Linked DNA regions of Caenorhabditis elegans. The protein of the gene in region 2 binds, or shares a complex with, the protein of the main gene of each other region. Each region holds a gene or a part of one and is shown on either strand. Other genes may lie near its edges. The genes, in order: rpl-11.2 and rpl-5.

The links.
Region 1: rpl-5 (region 2) and rpl-11.2 share a complex: the UniProt entries of both Caenorhabditis elegans proteins name them as parts of the large ribosomal subunit.

The regions. Positions count from the first base shown.
Region 1 is NC_003284.9:2,240,951-2,244,515, forward strand, and holds rpl-11.2 (Large ribosomal subunit protein uL5B), read right to left. Parts: upstream 1,669-3,565; 5' UTR 1,667-1,668; coding exon 1,532-1,666; intron 1,480-1,531; coding exon 1,264-1,479; intron 1,213-1,263; coding exon 1,036-1,212; intron 989-1,035; coding exon 926-988; 3' UTR 788-925; downstream 1-787. Other genes in the region: putative G-protein coupled receptor AH9.1, read right to left, coding at 2,652-2,706, 2,759-2,911, 3,073-3,138, 3,186-3,439, 3,489-3,564. UniProt on the Caenorhabditis elegans protein: Component of the ribosome, a large ribonucleoprotein complex responsible for the synthesis of proteins in the cell.
Region 2 is NC_003280.10:8,567,768-8,571,630, reverse strand, and holds rpl-5 (Large ribosomal subunit protein uL18), read right to left. Parts: upstream 1,705-3,863; 5' UTR 1,699-1,704; coding exon 1,510-1,698; intron 1,458-1,509; coding exon 1,275-1,457; intron 1,230-1,274; coding exon 891-1,229; intron 843-890; coding exon 672-842; 3' UTR 645-671; downstream 1-644. Other genes in the region: bcs-1 (Mitochondrial chaperone BCS1), read right to left, coding at 1-264, 309-535; col-38 (Cuticle collagen 38), read left to right, coding at 2,562-2,699, 2,828-3,553. UniProt on the Caenorhabditis elegans protein: Component of the ribosome, a large ribonucleoprotein complex responsible for the synthesis of proteins in the cell.

The DNA.
Region 1 (3,565 bases), on a different chromosome or scaffold from region 2:
AAGAAACCAAATTTTTCAGTTTCAAAGTTTCATTTCATTGTGTAATTCGGTGGTGTACTTTTCATTTTTCATATCATGGAAATAACTGAAAACATGCAAAAGCACGATTTTTAATATTTTATGATCTTTAAGCCCGACTTGAAGCAACTGAGTTGGCTGACAATTTCAACAACTGTGAGCCATTATAGAGCCAATATTGTACATAGCGTTTACCAAGCTTTTTGGTGCCACTCGACTTTTAAGCTCATATCTGAGCAGCCGATAGAGCTTTCTTTACAAAAATTTACAGACTTATGCTGAAAAATATACAAATCATGAACCATTAACAATAGCTTTATCAATCTTCAAATAAGTTTGGTCTTATTTATTTCATATACGCAATGAAACTAAGTTTATTTATGTTTTCGAATTTTCGATTTTCGATTTTCGAAATATATTTTCAGAAATCCCAGAAATATTTCAGGAATTCGAATTGATCACATATCAGATACCAAGGACCGTCAAATTATTTTTGTTCAAAACCCGCCGCTAACTCTCGGAACATAGATCCGATAATTGCGTTATGAACTCGAAATTCGACACATTTGTTTAAGCAACGTAACTTGTATGATTTAAATTGAAAAAAATAAATAATTCTAGATTTATTTTTAGACGCGCCTAGAAAATGAGGTCGTAAGGTTTTATCGAATCACTTGATATATCTTAAAATAACAGACTTATCTCTCTATAAAGTGCTCACAAAGTTCTGACGTTTTTCCCACAATCTTTTCCTTTGCGAATCCACGTTAATTTTTAAAGCTTTTTACTTTTCAGTGTTCAGAAGATTGAGGTTTTTGTGCTCTGAAAAGTTCAACCCAACCCCAAAAACATCATTTTTAATCTGGTACAACATATAACAGTTTATGTCAAAAAATCAACAATTTTCTTAACGGCGACGGTGGAATGTGCGCTTGACCTTTGGCTTTGGTGGGAGGATGATTCCGTCATACTGAAAATTTGAAGATGAACAAAGGTATCTATGAAGCGAAAATTTACCTTCTGTTGGAACCACTTGATGGACTCCTCACGCTCGACTCTGTGGGATGGTCCGACACGTCCTGGGGCGCGTCTTCTCTTGGCGATACGGCGTCCAGCACGGTCAAGGACAACGTAGAAGTCCATTCCGTAGATTCCGATCGATGGATCGTACTTGATTCCCAAGTCGATGTGCTCCTGCAATTCATTAATACTTACAGCTGACTAGATCGCTTCTGCAATGGTTACCTGGACTCCGAATCCGAAGTTTCCGGTGTCGGAGAAGTTCTCCTTGTAGAGCTCGTACTCCTTGACCTTGAGTCCCTTCTCGAGGATTTCCTCGGCCTTTGGTCCGCGGACGGTGCAGTGAACGGCGATCTTTTCGTTTCTGCGGATACCGAAGGTACGGACGGTGTAGCGGGCCTTGGAGAACACTGGGGTCTGTCCAGTGAGCTGCTCGAGCACCTGAAATAAAATAATTCAGTTCATATTCTGCAACAAGTGAAAATTAACTTACCTTAGCGGCACGGGTCAGTCTATCTCCAGACTCTCCGACGCAAATGTTGAGGCAGAGCTTCTGGATCTTGAGCTCACGCATAACATTGCGGGCCTTCTTCTCGCGGATTTCCGTCTGCTTCTCGATGTCACCCATGTCTGTAAAGAGGTAAATAACAATAAAATAATTTTAAATGTAACGGCACAAATTAACAAAAAAGAAAATTGCAAATTTCTAACATCAGAGAATTTCAAAGAAAAACCCAAAAAACTAAAAATAAACAAACTAATAAAGGTTTTCCACCTAAAAATCATCTTCTAACTAATAACCCTAAATTAAAATAATCACTAACAAAAACGCGAATTAAATTATGAAAATCCATTGAACAAAGCTTTCGATTGAAAAAAGTTCGAGTCATCCAATTGTAAAGGGCCTAAAATTTAACAAGAAAAAAGGAAAGATCGGAAATTCTCCTGCAGAATACGAGAGGCAAAATGACTACGGTAACACTCGTTTCTGGCTGTGTGTCCTGCCTGCACATCTAACTTTACGCTGGCAGAATGCCAACATCTCTCGCGTCATCTCGAGTCTCCCACTTCCAAGTGATATTTCCTTTGCAAACCCGGGGGTCTTTGCGTTTTTGGGCCACACATACAAATTCGCTTGGCAGATGGAAAGCAATCGATTAGAATCTGTACAGGACATGTTTCCACGGAGCCGCCGTTGATTTGGTAAGACTTTGGGCCTGAGCCATTATTAAATAAATTTAGTTATCCGGACATTTTTTTATTGTAAAAAAACGGTATTAAATGTGAAAAATTGAACAAAAAAGGTCCAAATCAGTAAGATATGCAACAAAAAAGGTAATGTAAAAAGAAATTGGAATGTGTTCAAATGAAAACGTTTTTGGAGCAACAGAAAAAAAGTAAAGAACAACCGGTCATTCAAAATCACCTAAGACAGAAATTTGGAAATGAGGAGAACAGATAAGGAATAGGTTGACAAGAATTTTGAGAATCACAATTGAAAGTTAACCGTTTCAGAACAGAGATCTATTGATGGAAGCAATTGAAAGAAGGCCGGAAACAAATTTTTGAGTAAAATGAAAAGGAAAGCAACTAGAAGTATATGATAACAACGATTAAACTTCATCCACTGGATTTTCATGATTCTCGTTTCCAAGAAGGACGACAGCTCTGCAAACGGAGATTATGATTGACTTTTGAAACGGAGAGGGGAAAAACTCACTGATGACATCGCTTTCCGTGAACTGAGACTCGAACGGTTGGAGAGTCGCCAGTGGAAGTTGGCGATAAGCTTGATCTACATCCAAATAGTCGGAGAAATGCGTGACGGTATTCAGAAGAACACAGAGCATAAAGGTAGAAGTTGTAGAGATAACTGAAAACGGGGAAAGGTTTGGAACCATCTTTCAGCTTTGAGCTCTTTTCATAAACTACTGAATTTTACAAGAAGTGAAAAAAACCATAGCATGTATTGAATTTTTTGGAGAGTTGAAAAAAGAAAAAAAGCAATTAATTTTTTGTTTTAGGTAGCCATACCTTGTGACTTGAAGAAGATTTGCAATGGCACGGAATATCTGCCAAAACAATGAACCACTAACTCGTCTGAAATGCTGTCCAGTTCAAAGAATTCTCAAAATATTAAGACTTACCGAACGAAGAAAGATATAACGGAGGCAGGAATATTGCAGATGATAAAAGTAGCAGATGTAACGAACAGAAGAACTGATATACGACTGCGATCATCGCGCGGCGACCGAAGTTGGCGTTGAGCTAATGTTTCAGTCCGACTGTTTTGTGATGGCTGTCTCCAGAACCAATTACGTTTGTCAATTTTCCGCAGGCCACGAACGACGCACATGTTCAGGATAACAAGAAGTAGAACGGGACCCCAGCGGCAGATACACTGAAAATTAAACATAAAAACTACTTTTAAAAAAATTCGATTCACTTACTTCTCTTACTATAAGATAGAATTTAAAAACTTGAAGTGCCTCCACATCTTCGTTGCGAACAATTGTGTAGATCGTTC
Region 2 (3,863 bases):
ACATCTGAGCCTAACGTAGTCAATGTGACAGTTTCAAATGGTGTACGAATTCCGTCTCGCTGGATAACTTGCTTTTCACGCTGCCTTTCGACTTTGATCCATCGATAATCATGGACGAAAAAATGAGTTCCATGGCCAGGTAGGAATGATATTGATAATTCAGTTTTGCCACTTTCAGCTTGATGAACAACTGTATTCGCTGATAAATTCCGTGTTTGGGTAGCACTTCGATTATTAATGAAATCGAGAAGCCATGGATACGCTCTAAAATCATTATATTTTCTGATGGATTTCTGTAAATAACTTACGCGTCTTCGTTATTAATTTGAAGATTGATCATAAAACGCCTACGAAAATACGTGTTGCTGATTTGAGCTGTCCTCCGCAGAAAGCTCATTGCTATTCCTATTCCCGCTAGACCAGCTCCCGCATTAAAATACGGGTTTTGATTCAAATTGTCATACAAATCGGAGAAAAAGGAAGAGTCTTTTGATGGGCCTGGTTTTTTATCGGAAACGACAGGATTTTCCGACATCTTAACTTTAACTGAAATTTAGACTTCAAAAATCAAGAAATCCAATGTATAATTTTATCGTACTCGAACAAATTGTAACAAAACTCGAGACTGTCAACAAATACATTCATTTGAAAACGAAATAACAAAAAGAGAGTTACTCCTGTTGCTCCTTGAGTTGGAGAAGAAGGGCCTTCTTGTCGGCAACACGTTGCTTTCTCTCGTCATATGTGAGCCTCTTGGCGGTGTGTCTCTTGGATGGCTTGGCAGCCTTCTTTGCGGCTGGAGAGGCATCAGCACGGATGGCGGAGTGGACCTTTTGATAAGTCTGAATATTTTAAACATTGGTTACAAAAATAGGAATAATTCAACTTACGGCAACAAGGTTATCGGCGTTCAATCCAGCGGCAAGGAACTTGGAGAATTGGCGCTTGTAACGATCCTCATCCTCTTCCTTCAAGTAGGTCATGTAGTCAGCAACATGCTTTCCGAGAATGCGGTCGCGGTGGGCCTCAGCATTGTACTCCTTCGACTCTTGATCGAATCCGAAGAATCTGCTCTCACTGTGGGGAACGTTGATGCCTCCATCAGCAACTCCCTTCATCACAGCGAAGATCTTGGATCCGGTGGTGGTGCGAGCAAGTCCGATGTCGAGGACAGCCTTGAATGGAGCGCGGTCTCCCTCCTCTTCTACATTGTAGTCTTCTCCAGTAAGCTAAAGTATGAATTTAAAGTAAGATCAAATAGAAATACAAAATACCTCTTCGTGGCCCTTGTAGGTGGAGTCAAGTCCGATGGTCTTCAAGTGACGACGGGCAAGAAGAAGTCCGGTGGCGTAAGCAGCGGCGTAGTTGGTAAGTCCGACCTTGAGTCCGTAACGTGGAAGTTCGTGGGAGTAAGCCGAAGCGACAACGACGTCTCCTTCGATCTTGGAGTAAGCGAGCTGAAACACTTAAATTAATATATTCTACATTTGAAATTAATGAAAACCTTACCTGAGCGACAACATCCTTGTTTGTGATGCGGACGATCAAACGGTACTTTGGGGTGTTGTACTTGTTCTTGTCCTGGACGGTAAGACGCTTTCTGGCATAGTAGTCAGTCTTTCCCTCACGTCTACGTCTCAGCTTGACCTGGTAGCGCTTGAAGTAGGCCTTGTTTTTAATGACCTTGACGAGACCCATGTTCTTCTGCAATATTATATTTTTAAAACTATCCTGTATAGAAAGAGAGAAACGAAACGATTATCGGGAAGAAACCAAGCTTATTTTCGAAGGAAACGGGAAGTTCTAGCGTTCGCCATTAGCAAAAAATGACTAACAAAAATAATATTACGAGTGAACAATGAAACTCTCAAAGATGGCGGAATTTCAAGCAAAGAAAACGATAAATATTCGAAAAAATCGAAAAAGTGTAGACAGTGACTTTAAAAATCGATAAATCAGTGTAATCTTATTTTTTGTTTAATTTTATTTTAAAAAAATCGTGAAAAGCACTGAAAAATCAAAAAAAGAATAGAAAATTTTTAGGACAACACAAATTTGCTTCAAGTCCGCAATCAGACGCGAGTTGATGGTGTGCGTACACCGCCACTGCACACATAAAGTTTGATGCGCAGGCGCGGGAATTCAAACAGCAAGGGTACGGTAGGCATCGCTTCCAAACGAGAAAACGTTGTGAATTAACTTCAAAATATAAGTTTTTAGTAGGGAAACAGACAGAAAACAAATCGTATATGAATTGAGATATTAAAAAACCAATTTTAATGCAAATCAGAAAAAAAAACACTCAAGAAGATTATCCGGCAATGAAAAATGGACGGAAAAGCAGGTTTTCCTTATCACTAATGGTTTTTTGCACCAAAAACTTAGAAACAATTTCCCATACGGTCCTAACTTTTTATTCGATTCTTCGCGCTGTCGAAAAAAGTGGATTCGCTTCCAGTACCGTCACGCATCTCTCTCAAGTTCACATTATATCTCACCACGAACGTCTTCACTATTAAAATGAATCGTTTCCTGATGGAACACTCAGACATCGTCTAAAAATGTCAAAATATTTGGTTCCCGTTTGTGCTTCTATTTCGCTGGTTGCCGTTTTTGGCGCCCTTGTCGCCATGCATTCCATTGTTGTCGATATTGACACGATGAGAGAAGAAATTGTAACTGGAGTCCATGACATGAAGGTTGGTAATTATGATAAACCTGTTAGTATTTATATTTAAAGTATTAGTTTTTTATAAATCTATGAGTTATAGTCAACTTGGACTCCGAAAGGATTCAACTGGATATGCCTATAAAAAACTGTTTTCAGGTGATGTCTGATGATGCATGGAATCGTATGATTGGATTCACCAAGCCATCTCTTGATTCTGAATCCCGCAGTGCCGCTTTCGCCAGCGTTTTCCGTAACAAGCGTTCTGCTTATCCATCTCAATGTAATTGTGATGCCAACTCTCAAGGATGCCCACCAGGACCACCAGGACCACCAGGACTTCCAGGAGGACGTGGAGATCAAGGACCATCTGGAGATAAGGGACGTGATGGAGCTTCTGGAGTATCTCTGGCTGTTACCCATCATCTTCCAGGAGGATGCATTCAATGCCCACAAGGACCACCAGGAGAAACTGGACCAGACGGAGATATTGGAGAGCCAGGATTCCCAGGAGCATCTGGATCTGCAGGACAATGTGGAGAAGATGGAGCTCCAGGAGAGGCCGGAATCACTGGAGAACAAGGACCACAAGGAGAGCCAGGAACTGAAGGATCTGAAGGACCAACTGGACAAGATGGAACTATTGGAGGACCAGGACTTCCAGGACAACCAGGAACTCCAGGATGGCCAGGATCTCAAGGAGAACCAGGAAAGAACGGAGATTCTGGAGTTGATGGAGAGCAAGGACCACAAGGACCACAGGGACCAGATGGACAACCAGGACGTGATGCTGATAATGGACAACCAGGATTGCCAGGAAAGGATGGATCTATTGGACCAGATGCTAACTATTGCCCATGCCCAGCTAGAGCCAAGAAGCACTAAATTATTTTATTTTGATTTAATTTCAAATAAAATCTTATATTTCAAATTTTGATTATGGCTACGAATGAGTTGATCCGCGAATTTTAGTGTTTCCTACAAAATTCAGAAATAGTGCTAAAAACCATTCTTATACAGCTAAAATAACCAAGTATAATAGTAAAAATTTTTCAGCATTTTTTCAGCATTTTTCAATTTTACAGGCAAATTGTTTGGGGCATAACATTTTTCAAACGTGTGTTTTATTTTTGAACATTCTAGAGGTTCGACCATGCATCAATGCTCAAAACTGCTTTAAAATCTCACATTGTTG